Linked DNA regions of Anolis sagrei. The protein of the gene in region 1 binds, or shares a complex with, the protein of each later gene. Links are inferred from orthologs where the notes say so. Each region holds a gene or a part of one and is shown in the gene's direction. Other genes may lie near its edges.

The links.
Region 2: the proteins of guanine nucleotide-binding protein G(q) subunit alpha (region 1) and CASR are in contact, whole or in part, in a cryo-EM structure (PDB 8SZG), measured with the Homo sapiens proteins. The link is inferred for Anolis sagrei from reciprocal best matches to the Homo sapiens genes GNAQ and CASR. Residues at the interface, in NP_002063.2 of Homo sapiens: His63, Leu196, Gln197, Ser198, Ile323, Tyr325, Ile337, Arg338, Phe339, Phe341, Ala342, Lys345, Asp346, Ile348, Leu349, Gln350, Leu351, Asn352, Leu353, Glu355, Tyr356, Leu358, Val359; in NP_000379.3 of Homo sapiens: Lys644, Ala645, Asn647, Arg701, Val702, Leu704, Val705, Phe706, Ala708, Lys709, Ile710, Pro711, Thr712, Phe714, Phe801, Arg873, Thr876, Ala877, His879, Ala880, Phe881, Val883, Ala884, Arg886, Ala887, Thr888, Leu889.
Region 3: the proteins of guanine nucleotide-binding protein G(q) subunit alpha (region 1) and F2RL1 are in contact, whole or in part, in a cryo-EM structure (PDB 9D0A), measured with the Homo sapiens proteins. The link is inferred for Anolis sagrei from reciprocal best matches to the Homo sapiens genes GNAQ and F2RL1. Residues at the interface, in NP_002063.2 of Homo sapiens: Arg37, Ile323, Tyr325, Asp346, Ile348, Leu349, Gln350, Asn352, Leu353, Glu355, Tyr356, Asn357, Leu358, Val359; in NP_005233.4 of Homo sapiens: His108, Pro109, Ala110, Met114, Gln172, Arg173, Val176, Ile177, Pro180, Met181, Gly182, His183, Ser184, Arg185, Met265, Met268, Leu269, Met274, Asp275, Asn277, Lys280, Lys281, Arg284, Ala285, Leu288, Ile289, Tyr344, Tyr345, Val347, Ser348.
Region 4: the proteins of guanine nucleotide-binding protein G(q) subunit alpha (region 1) and PLCB3 are in contact, whole or in part, in a cryo-EM structure (PDB 8UQO), measured with the Homo sapiens proteins. The link is inferred for Anolis sagrei from reciprocal best matches to the Homo sapiens genes GNAQ and PLCB3. Residues at the interface, in NP_002063.2 of Homo sapiens: Pro185, Thr186, Thr187, Ile189, Glu191, Pro193, Arg202, Gln209, Arg210, Ser211, Glu212, Arg213, Arg214, Lys215, Trp216, Ile217, His218, Val240, Glu241, Glu245, Glu249, Glu250, Ala253, Leu254, Arg256, Thr257, Ile258, Thr260, Tyr261; in NP_000923.1 of Homo sapiens: Pro257, Arg258, Leu259, Asn260, Glu261, Val262, Leu263, Arg707, Asp709, Lys710, Ile719, Asp721, Gly722, Ile723, Val724, Ala725, Ser845, Asp846, Tyr847, Ile848, Pro849, His852, Tyr855, Ala856, Ala858, Leu859, Ile860, Asn861, Pro862, Ile863.

The regions. Positions count from the first base shown.
Region 1 is NC_090022.1:225,883,426-225,891,275, reverse strand, and holds the start of guanine nucleotide-binding protein G(q) subunit alpha, read left to right. Parts: upstream 1-4,849; 5' UTR 4,850-5,846; coding exon 5,847-5,982; intron 5,983-7,850.
Region 2 is NC_090022.1:198,540,906-198,547,922, reverse strand, and holds the start of CASR (extracellular calcium-sensing receptor), read left to right. Parts: upstream 1-4,017; coding exon 4,018-4,202; intron 4,203-7,017. UniProt on the Homo sapiens protein: G-protein-coupled receptor that senses changes in the extracellular concentration of calcium ions and plays a key role in maintaining calcium homeostasis.
Region 3 is NC_090022.1:264,603,920-264,611,020, forward strand, and holds the start of F2RL1 (proteinase-activated receptor 2), read left to right. Parts: upstream 1-4,085; 5' UTR 4,086-4,224; coding exon 4,225-4,297; intron 4,298-7,101. UniProt on the Homo sapiens protein: Receptor for trypsin and trypsin-like enzymes coupled to G proteins.
Region 4 is NC_090032.1:16,250,923-16,258,577, forward strand, and holds the start of PLCB3 (1-phosphatidylinositol 4,5-bisphosphate phosphodiesterase beta-3), read left to right. Parts: upstream 1-4,655; 5' UTR 4,656-4,778; coding exon 4,779-4,877; intron 4,878-7,655. UniProt on the Homo sapiens protein: Catalyzes the production of the second messenger molecules diacylglycerol (DAG) and inositol 1,4,5-trisphosphate (IP3).

The DNA.
Region 1 (7,850 bases):
GCAGGATGATCTCTGAAATGGTAGGAGGCAAGATTTATGCTGATCACTGCATCTGGTTCTTGCCATTTCACAGATCCTCAGACTCTCTCCAGCCTTGTGTCTTTTACACAAGTAGAAAACAATGGAAGCTATCCTAAAAGGCTATTATAGCAGTACTATATTCCAAAATAAAAACAATTAAAAATCAAAATACAGACAGTCCTCAAGTTACAAACATCCAACTTACAAATGACCCATAGTTAAGGATGAGGCTGAGACAACAGGAAGTGAGAAAAATCTGCTCCTGGGAAGGGAAATTCACTCCTGAAAGATTTATCATGGGGGAAACTTTCTCACCAAACCTTGTTTCCACAACAAGGCAAATTTTTCAAAATCTGAAATAGACAATGAATCAAATGACATAAAGGAAGGCTAGAAAATGAGGTAAAATCTTCTATACAGGAGGCACAGACGATAAAACAAAGACCATAGGAGTGTTAACCCTTCCCTATGCTATCCAAGGCACTTGAAAAATGTGCCTGTTCTGACTTACATATCTTATTCGAAACTTGGGGACTGCCTACACAGAATATTTTGGTCTGAAGCATTTCAGATAAAAGATATGCAACCTGTACTATCTCTTCATGAAGGATTGGTTGAATCAGCCCTGGAGGGCGCAAAAGTATGTATTCTACAACCAGATACCCTCAAGCAAAACAGCACATATGTATATCTGAAAGGAGAATGCCCTTAAGTTGTGCTAAATCAGAACCTAAATCTCTGCATTTACAATATTGCCTATGTTTTGTTCGAATGTGTAACGATCTAAGATCCACAAAGGGGAACACAGTTATGTTCAGGGAACTGTTATAGATGCAATTCTTTAAACCAGGTCATAAATGTGAAATGTAAGATACAATTATTCTGCAATATGAATATTCTTCATTAGAAGTGTCCTATTCATTCCACACTCTTACAGGTAAAGCAGTGAATGCTAACCCAAAGGGAATGTCTTATAGCACTTCAGGGAAGTGGAAAAAACAACCTCAGAGTGTGCCTTGTCTCACGTATCTGGCTAGTTATTATTGGAGATATCTCCATGGTTGTCATGGAGGCCATGAAGTCCCAAGCTGACCCTAAAGAGTCAGTCTTGACATAAATGGTGAGGCTGTTTCTTAACAACAAGCTATTGCCATAGTTGTCATCTTTGTGTGAAAACACAATCATGTGAATCCACTGAAAAAGCATAATGCTTTATTGCCTATCTTCATAATATTGTTCATATTCTATCAGTACCAGCAGTGTACATAGCACCTAACAATTATACAGGCAAAAAAGTCACAAGATGCTTTAATCTGAAATAGACAATGAATCAAATGACATAAAGGAAGGCTAGAAAAGTGGGGGTAGGAAGGGAAGGGAGGAATGTGGGTGATGCAGTTCCAAAACCAAGGATGTAAAATCATGTCAACATTTCAAAAACTGAACTTTGAGAAGAAGAGAGGAAGCATCATATAAAAGTTCAGGAAAGCCATTCAATGCATAGGAAAATTACTTCTTGGTATCATCCTAGAAGGGTAATTTGTAGATACAATTTTATTTTTAAAAACTAAACCAAACATGCTTGTGATTTCTAATGAACTAGACAAAGATAGGGATTGTCTCTTTGTATCTTAACCACAGCTTGCAACTGAAAGTAGTAAATGAACATTTTGCAGGACGAAATGAACTTCAGCCCTCATTAATGTCTGCAAAAAAAAAAAACTACTATCGAAGCACAAATACCGATTAAAATGTTGGCTTGCTCCTTGAAACTGAAGAATCCCTAACAGTAATTCTTTTTATATTTAGAGGAACGCTTACCAAAAGTAAATTCCATATGGATTAAACAAGTGCAATATTACGGATGGCTTAAAGTAGTGGTTCCTAACCAGTGGTCCACAACAACTAAAATGTGGTCCGTGGCCTCACCATTACTACAATATTGCAACGAGAGCGACCTGTCTCGCAAGACCCTCTTATAGTGCTGAGGCTTATTAATTTTTTTTTTTTTTGTGGGCGAGCAGATAGCGACTATTGGATGGCATATGTTCTGTATAAAAAAACTACAGCTGATGTGGTCTATCCAATGCACTTTTCTGACTCAGCACCCCAAATAACCAAACCAGATCTAAAGTTGACCAAAAACTGATTTGTAACCCTTTTGGTACTAATGTTGGAGAGTGGTCCCTGGTCAAAAAAAGATTGGGAACTACTGCCTTAAAGGAAGAAAAGAAAATTGGAAGATAACGTTTCCATGTCTGGTTTGTGATGCCTTTTTTTGTAACACCAGGAATGATTCTATTTTTATTTTTGCACTGGAACCCCATTTGGGCCACTCCATGGCAACTCATTTCCATTAGACCCAGAAACAAGGCCAATTGAGAAGAATGATGGGAGCTGTAGTCCAGTTATTCTAGGGGAATGTAGATTCCACACTACATGCCACTGAAAACAACAGGATTTACACAATACATAGGATCCCTTAAAGAAGATAGGTTTGTGTTAGATCTGTCACAGCAAGAACCTATATACAACATAGAAAAAGTATTGACAGTTATGTAGGTCCCAAATCTGTATTACAAACCAGTACTGCTTTGACCAAAGCAATGGGCACAAAGTCTGTGCAAGCTTTCAAGGTCTCCAGAACTATTTGTCAAGCAAGACAGTGTGAGAAGCAGGATGTCTCCGAGTATGGAACGAGCTGGCTATTCCTTGACCTCTCCCTGGTGTTTTTCACAGCACATGATACATTGACATAGGCAGGTGATGTTTATTTTCTATGTTGTGAAAACTTCTGACTTTTTGCAGGTCCTGCTGCTGTTAAAGGTAAAAGGGCAGGTTGGCAGCAACCCTCTTCTTACATTCTGCCTAAACAATCTTTATACATCCTTCTCTAGCCTTTGCCCAGCTTGAAGGTTTCCAGTTCTGAAACATTGAAGAAAATGGGTTTTCGCTGTGCAGTTCATAGAATCATAGAGTTGGAAGAGACCTCGTGGGCCATCCAGTCCACCCCCTTGCCAAGAAGAAGGAAAAATGCATTCAAAACACCCTCGATAAATGGCCATCCAGTCTCTATTTAAAAGCCTCCAAAGAAGGAGCCTCTGCCACAGTCTGGGGCAGAGAGTTCCACTGCTGAACGGCTCTCACAGTCAGGAAGTTCTTCCTAATGCTCAGGTGGAATCTCCTTTCCTGTAGTTTGAAGCAGTTGTTCTGTGTCCTAGTCTCCAAGGCAACAGAAAGCAAGCTTGCTCCCTCCTCTCTATGACTTCCCCTCACATATTTATACATGGACATCATGTCTCCTCCCAGCCTTCTCTTCTGCAGACTAAACATGCCCAACTCTTTATGCCACTCCTCATAAGGCTTGTTCTCCAGACTCTTGGTGATTGTAATCTCCCTCCTTTGGACACATTCCAGCTGTCAACATCTCCCTTCAACTGCGGTGCCCAGAATTGGACACAGTGTGATTTCAGGTGTAGTCTGACCAAAGCAGAATAGAGGGGTAACATGACTTCCCTGGATCTAGACATGATACTTCTATTTATGCCAGCCAAAATCCCATGGGTTTTTAAGCTCCCGCACGACATTCTTGGCTCATGTTAATTTTCCTGTCCACGAGGACTCCAAGATCTTTTTCACATGTATTGCTGTCAAGTCAGGCACCCCCCTGAGACAACCTTTTCCCATGACTCTTCCAGGAGAGAATTTCCCATTGGGAGGATAGCGTTCTCTCACTTCCTGTTGTCTCACCCACCAACCCCTGAGCTCTTGGTGGTGCAATATGTTAAACCCTTGTGCAGGCAGCACTGAAGACCGACAGGTTGTAGGTTTGAATACGGGAAGAGCGCCGATGAGCTCCCTCTGTCCGCTCCAGCTCCCCATGCAGGGACATGAGAGAAGCCTCCCACAAGGATGGTAAAATATCAAAACATCTGGGTGTCTCCTGGGCAACGTCCTTGCCAATGGCCAATACTCTCACAACAGAAGTGACTTACAGATTCTCAAGTCGCTCCTGACACAAACCAGCCTCCCAAGTCCCCGGATGGCACAATGGGTTAAGCCCTTGTGCTGGCAGGACTGCTGACCAAAAGGCCTGCAGTTAGAATCTGGGGAGTGGCGTGAGCTCCTGTCTGTCAGTTCCAGCTTCTCGTGCAGGGACATGAGAAGCCTCCCACAAGGATGATGAAACATCTGGGCGCCCCTGGTTAACGTCCTTGCAGACAGCCAATTCTCTCACACCAGAAGCAGTTTCTCAAGTTGCTCCTGACACAAAAAAGGGCCCTTCCTTTTGTAAGTCGGATGTTTGTAACTCAGGGATTGCTTTTATTTGGAAGACCTCTTTTTATGTGATTCAACCCAATCTAGATGGAACATCTCATCCAATTCTCCAACGCAGTGGCCTAAAATCCAGGAAGCCTCTTACTAACATACAGAAACTAGACCAAGAATGTACCATTAGACCTCGGCTCTGTTTTTCCGTTTTATTTCCGTGCCCCTTGAACATTGTGTTGACTCTCCCCCCCCCCTTCTAAAAATAAGAAAGACCTTCCATAAGGTGTGATTTGCTTAATTCTGAGAGAAACGGGTGGGAGGGAGAGAGGCGGCAATGAAACAACCACGCGCAAAAAAAAAAAAAAAAGAGGAGGAAAAAAACCCTGCCCTGAAGGATTATTTTGTTTCCAAAAGGGAGGGAAACAAATCGTGGCTGCTTTCCTGTCTGGGGGGGGGGGGGGGGGCTGCGAGTGCAAGAAGGAAGGTGGGGAGGGAGGGAGGGAAGCAAGGGTCGGGAGGCTTTGACTTCGGGGGAAGGAAGCGGAGGAGGAGGAAGAGGGGGCGCGGAAAGAGGGAGGCCAGCCAGCCAGCCAGGAAAAGCTCCGCCATATTTCTGCCTCCACCACGCCCGGGAAGCCGAGCGAGGCAAGGCTACAGATAGGCTCCGGCCTCCGCTCTCGCCAGAAGACCCACAGCCTGGCCCTCCTTGCCTTGCCCCCCTCCGCAGGGGAGGCAGAGAGAGGGAGAAAGAGAGAGAAAAGCAAGCGCTTCCCTGCCTCGGAAGGCAAAGCCCCCCAAACCCCACTGAAGCTTGTGATTGTATCCAAGGCGGGGAAGGCGTCCTTCTTTTCTAGGAAGCTTGTAATTTCCTACAGATAGGATAGAGATTGCGTGGAGGCAGGGCGCGAACAGTCCGCCTCCTGAGGCGGGGAAAGGAAGGAAGGAAAGAAGCAAGGAGGAAGGGAAGGAAGGCAGGAGGGGCAGCCTGGGCGTCCGCTGGCCCTGCGAAGGGGATTCTCGGAGGCCGGGGCGAAAGAGGGCGGGGTCCGAGGGGCGCCTGCCTGGGCTCCTCCTCCTCCCAGTGGATGCCTCCCTGTTGTTTGGCGCAGGGCTGAGGCTGGGAAGGAGGCGGAGGCTCGCCCGGAGGCACAGGGCCGGGCCAAGGTGGGCGAGGGGGCTTCGCGGAAAGGGAAGGCAGGCAGGCAGGCAGGCAGGACTTGCCCGCGCGGTGGGTGCGCCGTGCGCGTCTCCCTCCGCGGGTGCGCCAGGACTCGCTCTTTCCCCCTTCCCTTCCCTTCCTCCTCTCCTCTCCTCTCCCCTTCCCCTCCCTCGGGGCTGGCTCGCTGTCTCCGGGCATTGGGAGGAAGAGGAAAAGGGAGGAGGGCGTCGGCAGAGGGGGTCGCTGCCTCGCCGAGCTCGGAAGCCAAAGGGCGTTTGCTCTCTCCTCCTCCTCCTTCTCTTCTCCAGAGGAGGGGCCCTCCTTCTCTTGTTTGGCTCCCCTGGTTGTGTTCCTTTGGGGGACGGGGCCCCCGCGCCTGAGCCACTGGGGAAGCATGACCCTGGAGTCCATCATGGCGTGCTGCCTGAGCGAGGAAGCCAAGGAAGCGCGGCGGATCAACGACGAGATCGAGAGGCAGCTGCGCCGCGACAAGAGGGACGCCCGGAGGGAGCTCAAGCTGCTGCTCCTGGGTGAGTCGCGCCTCCAGACAGACCCCACGCATCATCCCCACCCCCCCTCCTTCCTCTGTATCCCCTTTCCTCGCCCCCCTTTTGCCCCAGATTGCCTCCCCGCCCCTCAGCCAGGAAACGGGCGCCGCTTCCCTTTTGGATTGCTCTTGGGGCAAAGACCGTCGCCTGGTGGTGGTGTGTGTGCGTTTGTATGTGTCTTTGAGGGCATGAGCCTTGTGGGCTTGGGCTCCTGGTTCGGCGCAGTGGCGAACCTTGTGGCGATGATGATTCACAGCCCAGCAGCCGCAGCTTGGGGGGGGGGGGGGAGGAAGGTGTGTGCGAAGGAGGGGGGGGGGGAGAAAGGAGAAGCCACGCCGAGTCGCGCACCCTCCCCTTTCCCTCCATCCTCCCTTCCATCCCTCCTTTCCTTTCCTTCTCACCTCCCCCCTTCCCTTCCTCCTCCTTTCCTTCCCACCTTCCACCCCTTTCCTTCCCACCTCCCTCCCACTTCCCTCCCCTTTCCTTCCCTCCTTCCTTCTTTTCTTCCATCCCTTCCTCCTCCTTTCCTTTCCATCTCCCTCTCTTCTTTCCTTCCTTCTTCCCCCTTTCCTCTCTCCCTCCCTCCCCTTTCTTCTTCATTTCGTTCCCTTCTCTTCCTCCTCCTTTCCTTCCCACTCCCTCTCCTTTCCTTCCCTTCATCCCCCTTTCCTTGCCACCTTGCTCTCTCTTCTTTCCTTCTATTTCTCCCCCTATCCTTCCCATTTCCCTCCCCCTTTCCTTCCTTCCTACCTCACTCCCCCTCTCCTTCCTTCCTACATCCCTCCCCTTTCCTTGCTTCTTCCTTTCCTTTCTTCCCTTCCTCCTCATTTCCTTCCCACCTCCCTCCCCTTTCCCTCCTTCTTCCTTCCCTTCCTCCTCCTTTCCTTCCCACTCCCTCCCCTTTCTTTCCTTCCCTTCATTCCCCTTTCCTTGCCACCTTGCTCCCTCTTCTTTCCTTCTATTCCTCCCCCTATCCTTCCCATCTCCCTCCCCCTTTCTTTCCTTCCTTCCTACCTCACTCCCCTTCTCCTTCCTTTCTACATCCCTCCCCTTTCCTTGCTTCTTCCTTTCCTTCCTTCCCTTCCACCTCCTTTCCTTCCCACCTCCCTCCCCTTCTTTCCTTCCTTCCCTTCCCATCTCTCTCCCCTTTCCCTCCTTCCTACCTCCCCCCTTCTTTCCTTCCTTCCCTTACCCCCTTTCCTTCCCACCTCTCTCCCCTTTCCCTGCTTCCTTCTTTCCTTCCCACCTCCCCCTTCTTTCCTTCCTTTCTGTTCTCCCCCTTTCCTTCCCGCCTCTCCCCTTTTCCTCCATCTTTCCTTCCCACCTCCCCCTTCTTTCCTTCCTTCCCTTCTTCCCCCTTTCCTTCCTGCCTCTCTCCTCCTTTTCTTTCCATCTCTCCCCCTTGTTTCCTTCCTCCTTTCCCTTCCTCCTCCTTTCCTTCTCACCTCCCACCCCCTTCTTTCCTTCCTTTTCCTCCCTCTCCCCTCCCACCTTCCCCCCTCCTTCATCTTTCTTTCCCTTTGCAACTCCCACCCTCTCGTTCCCAATGAGTGCTTGACTCCCTTCCCCCCCCCTTCACCTTGGGTTTGTTGCCTCTCTTTTTCTGTTTGAAAGCAAAACAGATGTAGGTAGAGGCGAATGGCTCCTTCAGAGTGTAGTGGGTGGCTCTCCATGTGTGTGTGTGTAAGAGAGAGAGACACACAGAGTGGCTAGTTGCCAAAAATGGAGAGAAAAGGAAGCGGGTGGGTGAAAGAGAGAGTGAGCTGGTAAGTGAGGGAGAAGAATTAGAGAGCCATTCAGACACTAGTGTATGGTGGAGAAGGAGGGAAATGTGCACCCCTCTTCTCCCC
Region 2 (7,017 bases), about 27 Mb from region 1:
TCCCCAATGACCACAGTGTCTGTATTGGTTGCGGAATGCGTTTAGTTAAATAGCCTGGACCCGGACTGTTTAGGGCTTTAGGGCATGTTTATACAAGGACCATTTTATTTATTTTAAAGGTAGTTCAGGCTTTGCTTTGGGATGCTCTTATCTTTCCCTAAAACATAGATTTGTGCTCTTTCCTTATGTTTGTTGGCTGTTATTTCTGATTTGTTGTTAAAAGGTTTTGCGGATTTGATTTTATCACTGAAAACGTAACTGGAAGATGTTAAGCACTTTTTCCACTCATACTGGCTATTTATAGCACTGTTTTCCTTTTTTAAAAATGGTTTCTTTTTCTTAGACTTATCATATTGTTTATGTAAGCCATCTTAAATAGCAAGAAGCATAAAACAATTGCTCTTATAAATAAGTAAAGCTATTTGTGGGGTTGCACTAGTTTCATTTGTCTTTCTGCTTCTAACAAGCAACCAGGGAAATAATTGGAATAGTAGGGAATTTAGTGACATCTCATGATTTGCTTGAAAGTCATAGATTGATAGCATAGCCTAAAGTACAAATGACTTTCCAACTCCATTTATTCATAGGGATACTATGAGAGCAATGGCATGGATTTTAAGGAATGTTTTGAAGCCCAATAGCTTATGAACTGGACATGTTCCGTTTTCTTATTTACTTAGGCAATCCCTTGTTGTCCCAAATATGACAGCCTTCCAAGTGTAGTGATGGTGGTTACATGACTGTGGAGCCCTATTCTTGATTCGCATGTTCTTCCACAGTGAGGGAAGTGCAGGTCTCTTCCAAACACCCTTTATCCCAGAATATCAAAGCAGAAAATCCCACAATATTTGCCTTGAACTGGATTATCTGAGTCCACACTCAGATAATGTGGAATTTTCCGCCTTAATATTCTTGGGTATAGGGCTGTGTGGAAGGGCCCTCAGTTTAAAGTGATGATGGTTACCTTTAAAGTCCTAGATAAATTTGGTCCAAGGCATCTTCCGTTGACCAGAAGCTATCGATATTCTACACATCTCAGCAGAGATCCTCTTCCAAATCTTTCCATGGTCTGTGCATTAGGTGGGTAGTGAAAGAGCAGAATACTTTCTTGATTGTGTCACCCCAAATGTGAAAAAGCCTGGTCCTAAATTTGATGTCCATTTAGAAGCAGGGAAAGACAAAGTTCTGCAACTTTCCGACAGATTTGATAGTAAGTTTCAAGTGGCAGTTTTTCTGTGTACAGTATTTTATGGACTTGCATTGTTGCTACTTCTGTGACAATTATTTCATTGGCATTTGTTTATTTTGGTTATTTACATATGAGAGATGGTTGGCATATTTTACATGGCAAAGTTATAGATCAGTGTAATAACCAAATAATGAAGAACATCTAGGTCAGAGGTATGAATTGTGGCCTTCATGGATATCCAAAGGATTCAGTTCTGCCTTCTATGTTTTCTAACATCTACATGTAGCTGCTAGGGGAAGCCATCTGGAGTGTTGTGGCTGTGTGTCGCCAAAGTTTTGATGATCCCAGATATAGCTGTCCTTTACAACTGTTGGCAGGGAGGTAGTTGAAGTCCTGAGTCATGCAAAGAAGAATTGGATGTCGGCCTACAAATTGAAGATCAAACCATACAAGATAGGAGCACTGATGGTCGGGAGGAAGTCTAACCTGGAATTTGGAATCGTTGCTGTTCTGGGTATGCTTGCACTCCTGGTGAAAGCACAGATTCATAAGGATGCTCTTGGACGTAGGACTGCTTTAAGGCCAGGTAGCTGCAGTGGCCAGGAGTGTACATGTTCTGCTTCAGTTGGTTCAGCTTGGCAATGTTGTGCTATCATGCCTTAGGCCACATCTACACTGATCACTTAAGTCAGTTTCAAACAGGCATTGAAGAAAGTGATTCCACTGAGCAGATTATTACATAGGAAACCCTGGAACCAGTTTGATGCCCCGGCAATTATTACACAGAACATTGATGTGCTTTAAGGGCTTTCTTTCAGACACTTCTTTCTCACAAGAGTCTGTTGTCTATCACCACAGGTTTGAAGCTAGCTTCAAGCTGCATTAAAGGTAGATGGGGCCTTAGTTGCCACCTGGTTAGATTGTTAAACATATTCTATATGATGCTGCCCTGTTCAGGCGCTGCAACTAATACAGCATCCCTACTATTGAAGGTATATGTACTTAAAGACCACATAACCATGAATCTTACAAGAACTGCACTGCCTTCCATTTCACCTTTGATAGTAACTCAGTGTGCTGATTTTGACCAGCAAAATCTTTTTAAAAGCATTGTTCAAGGATATTTGAAAGAACGCCTTCTCTCACATGAGCCTGCCCTAATTTAGAGATCCTCAGGGTTGCATATCTCAGCATCTGATAAGACTAAGTTGGTGTTCATATGGCAGGACCTTCTCTCTAGCAGAACCCTGACTGTAGAATTTCCTGCCAAAAGATGTTTAGCTGGTTCCATCTCTTCTGAGCAGGCAGCTAAAACAGTATTGTTCCATCTAGTCTTTGGTGTTTGATATTGCTCTGCTGTTTTAATTGCCTGCTTTTAAACAGTAAATAAAGAGCAACACTCAAAAACTGGGGAACTCCAGACAAGAAACAATCAGGGACAGCTAATCACATCTCAACAAAGGATTTCCCCAGGCAGCAAGGAGCCTCACCTTAAAACTGCTAGGTCATTAAAAGCTAAGTGGACAATTTCATCAAAAAGGAAGAAACCACGAAAATGAATAAAATCCAGCTACCAGTACAAAAAAAAAAACTTCCAAAATTATAACTGTAAATAAAGAACAACACTAAAACACATGGGAACTCCAGGCAAGAAACAATCAGAGATTGCTAATCACTTCTCCACAAAGGATTCCCCCAGGCAGTAACAAGCCACTTCTAAAAACTGTCAGGCCATCAAATGCTCAGCAAGGTGGCCAACTAAAACATTCATACGTAGCTCCAACAGACAAGAGTTCTTTCTCCCATAGATATAGAAACCCCATTTTCAAGAGTTCTTTCTTCCACAGATATAGAAACCCCATTTTCCTAGTTTCCAACAGACCTCACAATTTCTGAGGATGCCTACCATAGATGTAGGTGAAATGTCAGGAGAGAATGCTTCTGGAACATGGCCATACAGCCCGAAAAACTTACAACAACCCAGTGATTCCAGCCATGAAAAACTTTGACAATACATTGCCTTTAAATTGTTTATGATGAGTGCTTTTAGTTTGTTGTCAGGCTTTCATGGCCGGAATTACTGGGTTGCTGTGAGTTTTCCAGGCCATATGGCAATGTTCCAGAAGCATTCTGTCCTGACATTTCACCCACATCTATGGCAGGGAACCTCAGACCCCTCAACCTCTGCCATAGATGTGGGCGAAACATCAGGAGAGAATGTTTCTGGGACATGACCATACAGCCCAGAAAACTCACAACAACCCATTGTTTTTAGTTTCTTTTTAACATTTGTATCTATATATTTAATCTTTTAATTGTTTTTATCTGATGCGGATCACCATACGGATCCTGGTGAGCAATATCTAAATACTTTTAATAAATGAAAAAATAAAAATAAATGTTGAGAAGCCTAACTTTAAAAGTGCACCTCTGGAGAGGTATGAAGATCCTTATTGTTTAAGGTTAATGTGCTAGTTGTGAGGAATAAAAGATTAATAATGCATTTTGAGGAGGGGAGAGGGGCTCTTTCTCTGAAAGTTCAACATTATTTCTTTGTGCATCTGAGCTGATTCTTTTACATCTGTTCTGTTTTAGGCAAACTAACACTGTAGTGGTCCTCAAGAAGCTGCTGGACTTTGCAGAGTGTAATGAAGAAACCCACTGGTGAGATGGATAACTACAGCTAGTGGATTACCATCAATTAGCCATGTCTGCCAAATCCATCGTGTGCACTGTTCCAAAGAGAAACAGTTTGTTGGAATGTATTACATTTATCCTTCTTACATTTTGAAGTTTGCAAGATAATCCCTTTGTGAAAAGGAGGAACAATGACTTTTTATAGTTTTTATTTGCTTTTCTTTGCGTTTACTTGGAATACCTCTGCCTATGGACCAAATCAAAGGGCACAAAAGAAAGGAGATATTATTCTCGGTGGACTATTTCCCATTCATTTTGGAGTAGCTGCTAAACACCAGGATCTGAAGTCTCGGCCAGAATCTGTAGAGTGCATAAGGTAAGCTTACGCAAAAATATGTAATATACGCTCAAGAACTCCAGTGACCATAGTTCCCATCTCTATGAAGTGAAACCAAATGCTGATTTTGTAAATAGTCTAGAATTTGTCCTGTTGGGTCTTTTTTTAAAGTCATTTCCCACTGTGGTCACAAGTGCTGCCTATCCATGAATGTATGACGTTGTTATATTAAGTTCGGATGTTGGTTCATCTAACCCAGAATGTTATATATCTGTGATTTGAAGGTACTCCATGTATCATATCAGACAACATAGTCTCTAATGCAATTGTTATAGTGTCAGAAGTGACTTGAGAACATACTGTAAGTTGCTTCTGGTGTGGGAGAATCAGTTGTTACCATCCTGTGGGACATTTCTCTCATGTCCCTGCATGGAAAACTGGAGCTGATAGATGGGAGCTCACCCCATCTCGTGGATTTGAACCACCGACCTTCAGGTCAGCAGTTCAGCCATCACAAGGGTTTAACCTATTGCAACACCACAGCTACATTTACCAGTAAAAATGAAATGCACAGATATAGAATAGGTAACACTTTGCTGGAAAACTGTACACGTGAAAGGGATCTAGGAGTCTTAGTACACCACAAGCTGAACATGAGTCAACAGTGTGGTGCGGCAACTCTGGGTTGCATCAATAGAGAAATACTGTCTAAATCAGACCTGCACAATTTCCCAGTAGTAAGGGGCTGAAATTAGATATGCTAAGTCTCTTTGGGCTGCAGATAGCACCTCACTTTTGAATTAAGGTAGAATTGTCCTGAGTTGCCCTTCAAAAACAGCATTTAGACAATGTTGAAAGTAAAAGAAAAATGTTTTACTTCAGCAAATACAAAGGATAAGCAAATACAATTGAAAAGTGCAAAAGAAAGCAAGGTAATCTTAATCCAGACACAAATTAAAGTCTCTTACAATTTCCCAAAAGAAACAGCAGTCTTCCATCAGACAACGGTCAATGAACTAAGTCTTTAGAAGCAGACACAAAGCAGATTCCATTGGAGTGAAAACAGCAGTATCAGGATCGTTGTTACCAGCGAAAGCTGTCTGCTCCTGCTTCTGATTTATAGCCCTGAATTCCCAACGTAGGAGGTGCTAGGGCGTCTCCCAATTAGCTCAGCGTTTTTTAGCAGCTATCTTAGCTGAACACCGTCTGTGCTCTGTCTCTAAGGCTCAGAAAAACAGAAAGTCAATCAAGTGACTCCTGGGTCCTGGGGATTGTTGGCAATCAGTCTCTCAGCGGGGAGTCAAGTGGAAGAATCTGTCTTGTTTCCCAAGACAGCCACATAGTCCAAAGTCACATAAGCACTACATAATATAAATTATGATATTTGATAACCTTGGGTGTTGCCCTGATCAGCTGTACAACAGAAGCACAGTTGTAAAAACAGAATAGTAACATATTGGAGCGGGCAGTTCAATTAGGCAAAGTTTTGCAACAGTGAAGAAGTTAGAAAGGAGAAAAGGAAAGAGACAGTCCCAGAAAACCTGGCAGAGTGAATTTTGTTAATTAAAGAAATGTATGATTTCATGTGTGTGTATATGGATGCAGTCATGCTGGCCACATGACCTTGAAGGTGTCTAAGGACACCGCCGGCTCTTCAGCTTAGAAATGGAGATGAGCACCACACCCCAGAGTGGGGCACGACTGGACTTAATGTCAGGGGGAAACATTTACCTTTACATTATGTGTCGGTGTTTCCTGGGGTGACAAGAAACACCTATACATATCCTTTTATTTTTAATTACCTTGAGGCTGAGAGGGTGGGGCTCAGGAGGTGAGAGAAAGGTCAATCCTGAGTTGTTGGAGTCACAACTTAATCTTGGCTCTAGGGTTCCTTAGATTCACAAAATGATACTTGACCAGATTACGGTGTTAGGTCTTCCTGGACATTCAACTCCCCCCCCCAAAAAAAAACAGTTTCCAAAGCTCATATATCAAGTTTAATTAGCTGCCTGGGAATATGTATATGGTTGTACCCCAGGTTTTGTGAACTGTATGTGACTCTTCTCCCCTGACTTCATTAATAAAGAAAAAAAATATGTGCAAGAGTTCTCTTCCAGTGGCAAGAAAAAAGTAGTTATTTCAATGCAGATGTGCATAGTTTCCTTAATGCGGAAGAGAGAAAAAGAGGGAAATTACCCTGAGAAAGTAGATAATGGAATCTTATGCCTCCCAAGTTTGTCAGATAATAATAAAAATTCAATTCCACTTTACATCTTTTAATTAGGAACTATGAGGTGATGCTTACAAGGAAACAAATCTATTAGCATGGTAAAATTGAATTATTTATAGTGGTCACTTGGACAGCATGACACAGTTGCTGTTCCCACTCAGACCCTATTACATATTTCAAACCCAATAAATTCTGTTTGCAATCCTAAAAAGTGAGTTCTCTGAAAAAATTGCATTTTGTAGTACGGAAGTACTACATCAGTTATGCTCTCTGACATCTTTAATAGAAGCAAACTTTACAAAAGCATCATAAACCTCCAACATGTTACCACATTGAAAGGAAGTCAATCATTGGATTCCCTTTAAGATGCTTCTCCTGATCTCCCTCAGGAAGTGTGAAATTGAATTAGGCAGTCTGCTATTCAAGGATCGTGTTTTGGAGGGAATCACTTTCCATTTTTTTCTTAGCAAACTAGGATTCACTTTCCACTGATTTTTTTTTTGCATCATGTCGAGTAATCTGAAATTTATTTTAATTGGCAATCTTTAAAGGTACAATACTTAAATTCATATCCAGTCCTGACAGCATAAGGAATGTAAGAGACCCACTGAATCTAGCATACAA
Region 3 (7,101 bases), about 39 Mb from region 1:
TTTCTCTCCCTTTTTTGAGGATTGCTTTATATATGAATGTCAGAATTTCTACTCAGGCTAAACGAATAATTATTTTCCTATTGTAATTCTATCCTTTTAGTGAGCTAAATTGTCGATTGGGGCCAGTGTTGTAAGAGATCTAGACTAAAAAAAATCAGATTGTTATTCTCAACTAGACTGGCTGAATCAACTGGACAAGTATAGAATCATAGAATCATAGAATCAAAGAGTTGGAAGAGACCTCATGGGCCATCCAGTCCAACCCCCTGCCAAGAAGCAGGAATATAACGTATAACGTTTAATAAGTACAATTTGCACAATACAGGCACTCCAGCAGAGATTAATAACTATAATCACATGATGGATGTATTATTAAAATGCATAGACCAGAATATACATCTGAGCTAAACATTTAACCTATGATGTTTTTGAAAAGCAATCAAATTAACAATAAAAGTGAGAGGCAATAGCCAATAAAACTACATAGCCAACAAAGATGCAGTAAAATCTGAAATGCACTGGTGGCCATTCGGGAAGATGGATTTGCAAGTGCATGTCAGAATCCCTGTGGTGCATTCCATCTGAATTGCCCTGTTATTTCACTATTGTATTCTACCCAATTGCATCCTTTTGGGAATGGCTTCTTTTAACTTCTTCTCGCAATAGAGAAATATGTGTGAAGCCTTATCTACTTCAACAGTGGCGACTACCTCTCCTGTCCCCATTTCCCACAAGACTCCTACTAGGAATCTTTTTTTTTTAATCTGATGCTGGGAACCTGCCACCTCTCTGTGTTGTTAATGCTTCAAGGGGGAGAAGGCTAGAAGTGCTTTTGATTTTCATTCAAAAGTAGGCAAAACAAAAATGTGAAGATAATGACAAAAGTGAAAAAAACTTTCCACCAATATTATCATTTTAATACATTTTACAACATTTCAAGGAATGTTATAATAACTCTAGAAACTGCTTCTCCATAGGTTATAGTGGGACCGCAGGCCACCCATCATTGGTTTAAATAGCGAACAGAATAGGGGAAAAGACAGATAAATCTTCACTTTTGCTCTGTTTTCTATTTTTGTGTTCCAGTCGCCAATTATTAACAAGAGATTGTGTTTAATCACCCCAATATTTCTTGGGTTTTCATTTCCAGAATACAAGACTGTGTAATTCTGACTCAAAATGTCTCATTCCTGATCAGTTTAGCTCACTCGCCCCAAGTATTGCACTGTTACACATTCCATTTCTTGTTTTGCTTGAGCAAACTTCTCCTGATTCATGCTTCTTATTTTCCATGTTCCTATTGTGCAGCTTTGGACTTTCCTTTCACCTCTGACTGTGTCAGCAGCTGAGCATTCTTTCAGGTTTTTTGTGTGTCAGGAGTGACTTGAGAAACTGCAAGTCGCTTCTAGTGTGAGAGAATTGGCTGTCTGCAAGGACGTTGCCCAGGGGACACCAGGATGTTTTGATGTTTTACCATTCTTGTGGGAGGCTTCTCTCATGTCCCCACATGAGGAGCTGGAGCTAACAGAGGGAGCTCATCCGCGCTCTCTCTGGATTCGAACCTGCGACCTGTTGGTCTTCAGTCCTGCCGGCACAGGGGTTTATCCCACTGCACCACCAGGGGCTCCATTCTTTCAGCTGGGGTGCAGTGAAGCTGTTAGACAGCCCTACAGAATAATATATCTTCCCTTTCTATGATTAGAAATGAATTAAGCATAGGAAAGATCTTCTGAAGATGCCAGATGCAGGTGAAACATCAGGAGAAAATGTTGCTAGAACATGGCCACACAACATTTCAGTGAGTCTGGCCATGAAAGCCTTTCACAATATGTGGGAAGGATTACTCCTAGATGAGAATGAATATAGGTTTAAAACTTAACCACCTAAGTAAAAAACTCAGTGATTTATTCTATGTATGTATGTATGAGGAAGCCCACCTGGAAAACTGTGTCCAGTTCTGGGTACCATAATTCAAGAAGGATATTGACAGGCTGGAATGTGTCCAGCAAAGGGTGATGAAAATGAGCAAAGGTTTGGAAACCAAGCCCTATGAGGAATTAGATATGTTTAGCTTGGAGTTTAGCTCGGTTCCGGCCCAGCTTACCTGTCCAAACGTATCTCCTTCTGTGAACCATTTCAGAAGTTAAGATCATCTGGGGAGGCCCTTCTCTCAGTCCCACCCCCCTCGCAGGTGTGACTAGTAGGGACAAGAGACAGGGTCTTCTCAGTGGTGGCTCCTCGACTATGGAACTCCCTCCCCAACTAAATTAGATCAGTGCCCTCCCTCCTGACCTTCAGAAAAAAAGTAAAACTTGGCTATGGGACCAAGCCTTTGGGCAGTAAGCAATACAAGGAATGATCAGGGATTATATGTAATTGATATTTGATATTTGGAATGGACTTGGACCATAATTTCCGGATTATGTGATTGTAATGTTTATTTCTGATATGTTTTTAACTCCACATGTTAATGTTTAAATGTTGTTATGTTTTTATGATATAGTCGATAGTTTTATGATATAAAGAGTGCTATTCAATGAATTTTGGATATAGAGGCACAAAAAGATATAGCCACCCTCAGTAAGGTTGCCACCTTAAAATGGCCGAGTCAATATAAACCTATCTTTCAAATTGCCAACTAAAAATGCAAATGCCAAAACATTTTAGGGGAGGTATTCACTTGAGCTAGATCTGATCAGCTTGATACAATGGTCGGATATGGGAAATTTAACAGCATCCCTTATAATGAATGGATTTGTATCTGCGAAGCACCTGAAATTCAGGATATAGACACATATTATTTGATTGTAAATTGTATCAGGAGGTGAGAGATTTCTACCTTGGTCCATACATCAAACGGACAATGTATTAGGAATCTCATATCAGAAAAAATATATTTTATGTATGGCCCAAAATTAGCATATAAAACAACTCTATATTTAAGCAAAACAATACATTTGAGAAGTACATATGTGGGGCTGATTGGGATAAATTTTATTTTATTTATCATATCAGGAGTGAACAAATGTAGATGCAGACTGTGGCCAGGAAATCAGAAGACGCTTACTTCTTGGGAGGAGAGCAATGTCCAGTCTCGATAAAATAGTAAAGAGTAGAGACATCAGACTGGCAACAAAGATCCGCCTAGTCAAAGCCATGGTATTCCCTGTAGTAACCTATGGATGTGAGAGCTGGACCTTAGGGAAGGCTGAGCAACGGAAGATCGATGCTTTTGAGCTGTGGTGTTGGAGGAAAGTTCTGAGAGTGTCTTGGACTGCGAGAAGATCCAACCAGTCCATACTTCAAGAAATATAGCCTGACTGCTCATTGGAGGAAAGGATAGTAGAGGCCAAGATGAAGCACTTTGGTCACACAATGAGAAGAAAGGAAAGCTTAGAGAAGACAACGATGCTGGGGAAAAAGGAAGGAAAAAGGAAGAGGGGCCCACCAAGGGCAAGATTGATGGATGGTATCCTTAAAGTGACTGGATTGACCTTGAAGGAGCTGGGGGTGGTGACAACCGACAGGGAGCTCTGGCGTGGACTGGTCCATGAAGTCACGACTGAACTAATGAACAACAACAAAGATTTATACCCTGCTTCATCTCTCAAAAATGGCTGCCAGAATCCCCCAGCATGGAGCCATAGCAGTCCATGTGCTATTAAACTGCACTGACTTCACAGCAGGCATGGGCCAACTTGGGCCCTCCAGGTATTTTGGGCTTCAACTCCCACCATCCAATGTTACTTTCAGTGCAGCAAAGCCTCAATTTGAAGCATCTTTGGGTGCATCTACACTAGGCACAGGCCAACTTGGGCCCTCCAGGTGTTTGGATTTCAACTCCTATAACTCCTAACAGCCTCAGGCCCCTTCTTTTCCCCCCTCAGCCGAAAAGGAAAGGGCCTGAGGCTGTTAGGAATGGTGGGAGTTGGTCCAAAACACCTGGAGGGCCCAAGTTGGCCCAGGCCTGCTTTAGAGTGGGCGCTGTGCGTCCTCCTCCTCCTCCTCTTTCGGCCGGAATTCCAGGACGCTGAGCTCACCTGGGCGCGGGGGCGGGTGGAGTTGGCGGTGACGCCACGAAGGTGCTGCTAAGCCCCGCCCCCTGGGCTCTCCTCCTCCTCCCCCGCCCTCCCCTTGAGGTGCCACCGAAACTCCGGAGGCTCCGACCACAGGAGAAGGAAGCGCTCTCTCTCCCGATTCGGACGCGGGACTCGTGCCTGGAGAATGGGGCGCCTCGGCCGGGCTTGGCTGGGCACCCTGGCCTTGGGGGCAGCTCTGGTGGCCGCTTCAGCAACAGGTGAGATAGGGGGAAGCGACGTTCACCTTTCCCCAGGTGGGGTGGGGCAGGGAAGGGGCCGGGACTGGGGAAAATGGAGCTTTGGGGGTGGGAAACAGCGCCCGGAATCCCCACCGGTGAGGGTTGCAGTCCATCAAGGGGATCTTTCCAGCAAGGGGTAAAGAGGTCCTCCAGTGAAAGATCCACCCCTATGGAGCATCCAGTGTCACTTTCAGTGCAGCAAAGCCTCAATTTGAAGCATCCTTGGGTGCATCTACACTAGGTATGGGGAAACTTCAGCCTTTCAGGTGTTTGGACGTCAACTCCCACCATTCCTAACAGCCTCAGGCCCCTTCCTTTTCCCCCTCAGCCGCTAAGCGGCTGAGGGGGAAAAGGAAGGGGCCTGAGGCTGTTAGGAATGGTGGGAGTTGACGTCCAAACACCTGAAGGGCCCAAGTTCGCCCATTGATCTACACTGTAGAATGAATGCAGACTGATCATGCGCCATGGCTCAATGCTATGCAATCCCAGGATTTGTACTTTGGTGAGGCACCTGCCCTCTTTGCCAGAGAAAACTCAAGAGAAGACCTTGCCAAACTACAACTCCAAGGATTCCATAACATTGAGCCATGGCAATTCAATGTTGGTTTTTTTTCTTCATGTCAGGAGCAACTTGAGAAATTTCAAGTCGCTTCTGGTGTGAGAGAATTGGCCGTCTGCAAGGTCATTGCCCAGGGAACACCCAGATGTTTTGATGTTCTACCATCCTTGTGGGAGGCTTCTCTCATGTCCCCACATTGGGTGCTAGAGCTGACAGAGGGAGCTCATCCACACTCTCCCCAGATTCAAACCTCCAACCTGTCAGTCCTGCCAGCACAAGGGTTTAACCCACTGCACCACCAGGGGCTCCTTATATCCTAGGATCTGTTACCAGATTATATTATTATCCCAGATTGTCTACTAGTGTAGACTCATTTAATCCAGTTCAGAGCAGATAATCTAGGATCAGATCCTGGGATATAGGGCAGCGTAGATCCAGCCTAATACACCATTTTTATAGTAAAGTGATGACACATCAAAACTCATGCCTTGCAAAGGCATACATTACTACTAGATGCTAAGGGAATTCATTATCCAATCAAGAAAATCCAGGTTTCTTTTATACTTCAGAACATGTTTGAATTGCCCAAGAAACCATGATGAAATACTGTTTTAGTTTACATAGTAAACATGTACAAGAAAAGAAAAAGGAGATACTCAAAGGAGAGAGATGAAGAGAAGTGCTCTCTTCCCCTCCTTTTTATATTATCATAGGGCCCTTTCCCACAGGCCCTATATCTCAGGATCCGATCTCAGCTTTTCTGTTTATCCCAGATTATCTGGCAGTGTGGACTCATTCACACGCTCCACGGATTCGAACCTCCGACCTGTCGGTCTTCAGTCCTGCCGGCACAAGGGTTTAACACATTGCACTGAGGGCAATGTTGTGGTGAAACACCATTAATACTACAGCGTAGATGCACCCCTTGGCTTCAAAACCTTGTAGTCCTCCCCCCCCCCTCCCAAACTGTGGAATGGTTCTCAGTTCTTGTGGGTTTTTTCGGGCTATATGGCCATGTTCTAGAGGCATTTCTCCTGACGTTTCCTGTGGAATGGTTCTTCTTACCTTCTCAAATTTCTTCCTAATGTTTAGTCAAATGTTTCTCATTTGAATCCATTGGTTTCAACTCTGCACCTGGCTGCAAGATCTGAGCCCATGTTTACTCTGGGATTTGATAAGTTGAGTGGGACTTGCTCTCAAACCAAGGCAGTTTTTTCTTTTTCTTTATTTTTCATATAAGGAGCGACTTAAGAAACTGCTAGTTTTCTTCTGGTGTGAGACTTTGACTGCCCTGGCTCAATGCTATGCAATTGTGGGAGTTGTAATTTCACAAGGCCTTTAGCCTTCTCTGCCAAAGAATACAAGTGCCTCACCAAACTATCGCTTCCCGAGCCATTAAATTGGCACCAAACTGTGTTAATTCCACAGTCAGATGCACTCCAGGATTTTGTGTGTGTGTGTCAGGAATGACATGAGAAACTGCAACTTGCTTCTGGTGTGAGAGAGTTGGCCGCCTGCAAGAACATTACCCAGGGGACGCCTGGATGTTTGCTGTTTTTACCATATTGTGGGAGACTTCTCTCATGTCTCCGCATGTGGAGCTAGAGCTGAGACAGGAGCTCATGCTGTTTTGTATAAGAGACAACCATTTTATTATGCCACTAGCCATCCCCTGCCACACGTTGTTGTGGCCCAGTCTGTGTATATGTGTTTTCTCTGTGTATATATGTGTATATGTGTGTGTATATATTTGTGTATGCATGTGTGTTTGCATATATATGTATGTGTGTGGTTTTGCACATGCGTTGTAAGGTATTTTTTGGTTTTTGGCTTTTTAAGTCTTTTCTGCTGTGTTTTCCAGTGTTTTTATGAGTGATGGTCACTCGTTGGTCTGATAGGTGTATTATGTCCAAATTTGTTGTCAATTCGTACAATCCACAGATTTGGTATTCAGCGGAAGCCTTGAAACCAAACCCCAGCAGACACCAAGGGCTCAATGTAACAATGTATAAACCACTGACACATTTCGGAGTAAATTTCTCCTCCTTCATGACTGGATATTTTGAGATATATAACACCAAACATGTAGAACTAGTCTGCTAGCTGGTGAGATCAAAAGAAACACACCCAACATGTGAAGCTTGTCAACTGTCTAAAAATAGGTGTTTAATTTGAGCCAATTTGTTATGGGACATAGAATCATAGTGCTGGAAGGCACCTCATG
Region 4 (7,655 bases), on another chromosome or scaffold:
ACAGGTAAACTGGGCTGGAGTCGTTTAGGATTTATAGGTCAACACCAGCACTTTGAATTGTGCTCGGAAGCTAATCGGCAGCCAGTGGAGCTGGCGCAACAGAGGAATAGTATGCTCCCTGTATTCTGCTCCTGTTAGTAATATGGCTGCCGCTCGTTGGACTAATTGGAGCTTCCGGGCAGTCTTCAGAGGCAACCCCACGGAGAGAACGTTGCAGTAGTAGCTTATTTTCTGCTGCCCTGAAGACTAGGACGCAATGGAGCAATGGCTTCAAACTACAAGAAAGGAGATTCCACCTGAACATTAGGAAGAACTTTCTGACTGTGAGAGCCGTTCAGCAGTGGAACTCTCTGCCCCGGAGTGTGGTGGAGGCTCCTTCTTTGGAAGCTTTTAAGCAGAGGCTGGATGGCCATCTGTTGGGGTGCGTTGAATGCAGTTTTCCTGCTTCTTGGCAGAAAGGGGTTGGACTGGATGGGCCATGAGGTTTCTTCCAACTCTATAATTCTATGATTCTAAGATTTTTTTTTGTCGTGTCAGGAGCGACTTGAGAAACTGCAAGTCGCTTCTGGTGTGAGAGAATTGGCCATCTGTAAGGACGTTGCCCAGGGGACGGCCGGATGATTTGATGTTTTTATCATCCTTGTGGGAGCCTTCTCTCATGTCCCCGCATGAGGAGCTGGAGTTGATAGAGGGAGCTCTCCCCGGATTCGAACCTGCGACCTGTCGGTCTTCAATCCACCGGGGGCTCCTATTCTAAGATTAATGAGCTGGCCATCAAGAGGCTTCAGGAAGAACTTATCTCAAGATGGATGGAAGCTCTTTGCTATCAGTGGCCTAGTAGACACTCTGGTGCATGGTTCTCATTAATAGCAGCTCCTTAGATAAAGGTGCTTAAATGAAGACTGACAGGTGTTGAAGTTAAAATATGCCATTGAAGTCAAACAATGGCGAACAAATTGAAACTGAATCCAGACAAGACAGAGGTACTCCTGGTTAGTCGCAAGGCCGAACAGGGCATAGGGTTACAGCCTGTGTTGGATGGGGCCGCACTCCCCCTGAAGACGCAGGTTCGCAGCTTGGGTGTGATCTTGGATTCATCGCTGAGCCTGGAACCCCAGGTTTCGGCGGTGACCAGGGGAGCATTTGCACAGCTAAAGCTTGTGTGCCAGCTGCGCCCGTACCTTGGGAAGTCTGACTTGGCCACGGTAGTCCACGCTCTGGTTACATCCCGTTTAGACTACTGCAACACTCTCTACTTGGGGTTGCCTTTGAAGACTGCTCGGAAGCTTCAACTGGTTCAACGTTCGGCAGCTATACTAACAGGAGCGGCGCTCAGGGAGCATACAACTCCTCTGTTGTGCCAACTCCACTGGCTACCAATTTGCTACCGGGCATAATTCAAAGTGCTGGTGTTGGCCTATAAAGCCCTAAAGACGGTTCTGGCCCAAGTTACCTATCCGAATGCATCTCCGCCTATGAACCCACTAGGACTTTAAGATCTTCTGGGGAGGCCCTGCTCTCGGTCCCGCCTGCAACTCAGGCACGGTTGGCGGGGACGAGGGACAGGGCCTTCTCGGTGGTGGAACGCCCTTCCCACAGACATTAGATCGGCTCCCTCATTAATGGCATTTCGGAAGAAAGTGAAACCCTGGTTATTTGAACAGGCGTTTGAATAGGCAGTGCAATGAATTATAATGAATTATAGGAAATCGGAACTACGGATGATGAGCTTGGATTATTATTTTAGTTATGAGACGCTAATGAGTTGTTTACTGAGGTTTATTGATGTTAATTGCTTAGTGTATTATTATGTTAATTGTTTTTAAATGGTTTGTATGATGATAGCATTGAATTGTTGCTGCTGTTTGTTGTTAACCGCTCTGAGTTGCCTAAGGGCTGAGAACGGTATACAAATAAAGTAAATAAATTAATTAATAAATAAATGTAAAAGTAGAATTTTGTGAGGCACATTATGATGCCTGTATGATGCATGCATATTATGTTAAAGGGTATATAAACCAAGGCTTTTCTTTGTTTGGTGCCCTGTCTCTGGACTACCAGCAGGGTCCATACCAACTGAGAATAAACCGTACTTTTTCAGACCTCAGGGACTCTCTTTGCCTCTTTCCCTCAAACCTTCTCCCTGCCATTTCAGAACCTCATTAACATCATTCCCCACATCCAAAGCACCCTGATCCTGAAACACAACCACACGCTGAACTCCAACAGCCATCACACTTGGACAATGAGGGATTGTCTAAGTAAGTACAAGCCATTGATTGATAGTTGAATATCTGCAAAGTTGCATGATTCCCAGTCTTGCTTCCAGGCAGACCTTGGGCACTCCAGATGTTTTAGATTCCACTCGTAACATGAATCGGAATTAGATTTGTCTCACTTTTAAACTAGAAATAAAGTAGTGTAAGCTATTATAAAGTCAGGGAAACTAGAGAAGGGAGTGGAAGCTGATTGAAATGAATGGCAGCGGATCTTGCACAGCCTGTTCGAGGCAAGAAAACCAGTTTGTCCACAGTTTATTTTCTTGTTTGGTACTTTCCCTTTCAAAGAAATGAGGAAAGCAGAGTGCAGCGCTGTTGTTACAATCTAAAGGCAAATATTCCAACATTTCTCACTTATTTTGGTAATATCTCTAAATGCAGTGCGAACTACAAGTCCGGCACGGATGGGTCCGTGTGCCAAGTTTGGTCCAGGTCCGTGTTTGGCTGGGTGCAATTCCTCTATTTGCTGTGTACCAGGGGTCCTCAAACTAAGGCCCGCGGGCCGGATACGGCCCTCCAAGGTCGTTTACCCGGCCCTCGCTCAGGGTCAACCTAAGTCTGAAACAACTTGAAAGCACACAACAACAACAACAATCCTATCTCATCAGCCAAAAGCAGGCCCACACTTCCCATTGAAATACTAATAAGTTTATATTTGTTAAAATTGTATTGTCGAAGGCTTTCATGGCTGGAATCACTAGGTTCTTGTGGGTTTTTTCAGGCTATAGGGCCAAGTTCTAGAGGCATTTCTCCTGACGTTTCGCCTGCATCTATGGCAAGCATCCTCAGAGGTAGTGAGGTCTGTTGGAATTAGGACAATGGGTTTATATATCTGTGGAATGGCTGGGGTGGGGCAAAGAGCTCTTCTCTGCTGGAGCTAGGTGTGAATGTTTCAACTGACTACCTTCATTACCATTTGAAGGCCTGGCTGAGCCTGGGAAAATCTTTTGTTGAGAGGTGTTAAGATGTGCCTGGTTGTTTCCTCTCTGCTGTTTTGCTGTTGTAATTTTAGAGTTTTTAAATACTGGTAGCCAGATTTTGTTCATTTTCATGGTCTCTTCCTTTCTGTTGAAATTGTCCACATGCTTGTGGATTTCAGTGGCTTCTCTGTGTAGTCACGAATCCAGGAACATGAAAGGCACTGCAGACTACTCCAACCAGAGAAGTCAGCCATAGCAGAGCACCTGATGAACCAGCCTGGACACAGCATATTATTTGAGAACACAGAAATGCTGGACCACAACAACAACCACCATGTCAGACTACACAGAGAAGCCATTGGGTCGCTGTTTCCGGACACATTCCAGCTTGTCAGCTCTCACATATTTATACATGGCTATCATGTCTCCTCTCAGCCTTCTCTTCTTCAGGCTAAACATGCCCAGCTCCTTAAGCCGCTCCTCATAGGGCTTGTTCTCCAGACCCTTGATCATTTGGGTCGCCGTTTCCGGACACATTCCAGCTTGTCAACTCTCACATATTTATCCAGGGCTATCATGTCTCCTCTCAACCTTCTCTTCTTCAGGCTAAACATGCCCAGCTCTTTAAGCCGCTCCTCATAGGGATTGTTCTCCAGACCCTTGATCATTTGAGTCACCGTTTCTGGACAGCTTGTCAATTCTCACATATTTATACCAGGCTATCATGTCTCCTCTCAACCTTCTCTTCGTCAGGCTATACATGCCCAGCTCTTTAAGCCGCTCCTCATAGGGATTGTTCTCCAGACCCTTGATCATTTGAGTCACCGTTTCTGGACAGCTTGTCAACTCTCACATATTTATACCAGGCTATCATGTCTCCTCTTGCCCTTCTCTTTGTCAGGCTATACATGCCCAGCTCTTTAAGCCGCTCATCATAGGGCTTGTTCTCCAGACCCTGGATCATTTGAGTCGCCGTTTCCGGACACATTCCAGCTTGTCAACTCTCACATATTTATACAGGGGTATCATGTCTCCTCTCAGCCTTCTCTCATCATCATCATCATCATCATCATCATCATCATCATTTAATTACTTATTAATTGCCCTCCATCCAAGATGCTAGGCGATTTCAGCCTTCTCTTCTGCAGGCTAAACTTCACCAGCTCTTTCAGCCGCTCCTCATAGGGTTTGTTGATCATTTGAGTCTCCCTCCTCTGGACACATTCCAGCTTGTCAACATCTCTCTTCAATGGTGGTGCCCAGAATTGGACACAATACTCCAGGTGTGGAATATTATAATCCAGTTCAAAGCCTACGCCTGTTAGGAATTGTGGGAGTTGGAGTCCAAAACTCCTGGAGGGCCCATGCTTGGGCTACAGAGTTCTGAGGTATGAGAGGGAATGGGGCTCCTCCCAAAAGGAGGAGGAGGAGGAGGAGGAAAGGGAGGGTCCCCAAAGGCAGACCCCGCCTCGCTTAGCCTCGCCCCTCCCGGCCCAAGCAAGCAGCCAAGGCAAGGCAAGGCAAGGCAAGGCAAAGGCAAAGGCAAAGGCTTGGCTTGGCTTTCCGGGGAGGGGGCGCCATGGCTGGGGGCCGCCCGGGGGTCCATGCCCTCCAGCTGGAGCCCCTGAAGGTCCACGAGACCCTCCTCAAGGGCAGCAAGTTCATGAAGTGGGACGAGGTGAGTGAGTGTGCCTGCCTTCCTCCACTCTCTCTCTCTCTTTCTTTCTCTCTCTTCCCTTCCTTCTTTACTTTTCTTCCCCTCTCTCTTCTTGCTTCGTTCCTTCTTTTCTTTCTTTCCTTCCCTCTCTTTCCTTTCCTGCCCTCCCTCCCTCCCTCCACGTTTCTCTCTCCCCTCCTTTCTTCTCTCTCACTCCTTCCTTCGTTCCTTCTCTCTCCTTCCTTCCCTTTCTTTCCCTCCCTCCCTCCCTCACTCCACGTTTCTCTCTCTCCTTCCTGCTTTCCTTTCTCTCTCCTTTCCTTCCTTCTCTCTTTCTACCCTTTCTTTCCTCCCCTCCTCCCCTCTCTTCTTTCTTGCTTTCTCCGTTTCTTCCTTCCCACTTTCCGCTCTTCTTTCCTCCCCTACTCCCTCCCTACTTCTCTCTCTCTCCCTTCTTCTTTCTTTCCTTCCTTCCCTCTTTCCACTCTTCTTTCCTCCTCTACTCCCTCCTTCCTTCCTTTTCTCTCTCCCTCCCCCCTTCTCTCTCTTCCTTCCTCTTTCCTTCCTTCTTTCCACTGTTCTTAACTCCCTCTACTCCCTCCTTCCTTCTCCCTCCCTCCCCCTTCTTCTTTCTTTCTTTCCTTCTTTCTCTCTTTCCTTCCCCTACTCCCTCCTTCCTTCTCTCTCCCTCCCCCTTCTTCTTTCTTTCTTTCTTTCCTTCTTTCTCTCTTTCCTTCCCCTACTCCCTCCTTCCTTCTCTCTCCCTCCCCCTTCTTCTTTCTTTCTTTCCTTCTTTCTCTCTTTCCTTCCCCTACTCCCTCCTTCCTTCTCTCTCTCTTCCTTCCTCTTTCTTTCTTTCTTTCTTTCTCTCTTTCCTCCCCCTACTCCCTCCTTCCTTCTCTCTCTCTTCCTTCCTCTTCCTTTCCATCCTTCATTCTCTCTCTTTCCATCCTTCTTTCCTCCTCTACTCCCTCCCTCCATCCTTCTCTTTCTCTCCCTTCTTCCTTCCTTCCTTCCCTTTTTCCACTGTTCTTTCCTCCCTCTACTCCCTCCTTCCCTCTCTCTTCCTCTTTCTTTCTTTCCTTCCCTCTCTCTTTCCATCCTTCTTTCCTTCTTCTTCTCCCTCCTTCCTTCTTTCTCTCTTCCTTCCTCTTTCCTTCCTTCCTTCCTTCCTTCTCTCTTTCCATCCTTCTTTCCTCCCCCTACTCGCTCCTTCTCTCTCTTCCGCTTACCTTCCTTCTTCCTTCCTTCCTTCCTTCCTTCCTTCTCTCTCTCTTACCCTCCTTACAGTCCTCTCTTTTTCCTTCCCTCTCTTTCCAGCCTATTTCCTCCTCTTTCCTTCCTTCCTTGTTTACTTTCCTTCCTTCCTTCTCTCTCTTTCCATCCTTCTTTTCTCCCCCTACTTCCCCTTTCTCTCTCTTCCTTCCTCTTACTTTCATTCCTTCCTTCTCTCTCTCCTTCCTTACAGTCCTCTATTCTTTCCTTCCCTCTCTTTGCAGCCTATTTCCTCCTTCCTTCCTTGTTTACTTCCTTCTCTCTCTTTCCATCCTTCTTTCCTCCCCTACTCCCTACTTCCTTCTTTCTCTCTTCCTTCCTCTTTCTTTCTTTCCTTCCTTCATTCTCTCTCTTTCCATACTTCTTTCCTCTCCTACACCCTCCTTTCTTCTCTCTCTTCCTTCCTCTCTCTTTCTTTCTTTTCTTCCTTCCTTCCTGCCTTCTTTCCTTCCTTCCTTCCGTCCTTCTCTCTCTCTTTCCATCCTTCTTTCCTCCCCCTACTTTCTCCATCTCTCTTCCTTCCTCTTGCTTTCCCTCCTTCCTTCCTTCCCTCTCTTCTCTTCCTTACATTCCTCTCTTCTTTCCTTCCCTCTCTTTCCAGCCTATTTCTTCCTCCTCTTTCCTTCCTTCCTTCCTTCCTTCCTTGTTTACTTTCCTTCCTTCTCTCTATTTCCATCCTTCTTTTCTCCCCTACTCCCTCCTTCCTTCTCCCCCCTTCCATCACTTTTCCCTTTCCTTCCTTTTCTCTCTCTTTCCTTCTTTCTCTTGCTCATTCTTCCCTCTCTCTTTCCATCCTCATTTCTTACCCCTTTCTCACTCTCCTTCCTTCCTTCTTTACTTTCCTTGCTTCTTTTTCTCCTCCCTTCCTCTCTTTTTCCTTCCCCCTCTCTTTCCAGCCTATTTCCTCCCCCTCTTTCTCTCCTTCCTTCCTTCTTTACTTTCCTTCCTTCTCTCTCTTTCCATCATTCTTTCCTCTCCTACTCCTTCCTTCTCTCTCTTGCTCTCTTCCTTCACTTTCTCTCTTCCTTTCCTTCCTTCTTCCTCTCCCCCCCCCACTTTCTCATTTCCTTCATTCCGTCTCTCTCTTTCCATCCATCTTTTTTTCCATCCTTGAATCTCTCCCTCTCTTTCCTTCTCTCTCTTTCGCTTCCTCTTCCTTTCCTTCCTTCTCCATCTATCATTCTTTACTTTCTTTCTCTCTCCCCTCTGTCTTTCCATCCTTCCTTCCTTCCCCTATTCCCTCCCTCCTTCTTGCTCCCTTCATTTCTCTCTCTTCCTCTTTCCTTCCTTCCTTTTCTCTCACCCACTTTCTTTCTCCTTTCTCCTTTCCTTCCCTCTCTCTTTCCATCCATCTTTCCCCCATCTTCCTCTCTCCCCTTCCTTCCTTCCTTCTCTCTCTCTCTCACTTCCTCTTGCTTTCCTTCCTTCTTCTATCTTTCATTCTTTACTCTTTTTCTCTCTCTTCCCTCTCTCTTTCCATCCTTCTTTCCTTCCCCTACTCCCTCCCTCCTTCTCACTCTCTCC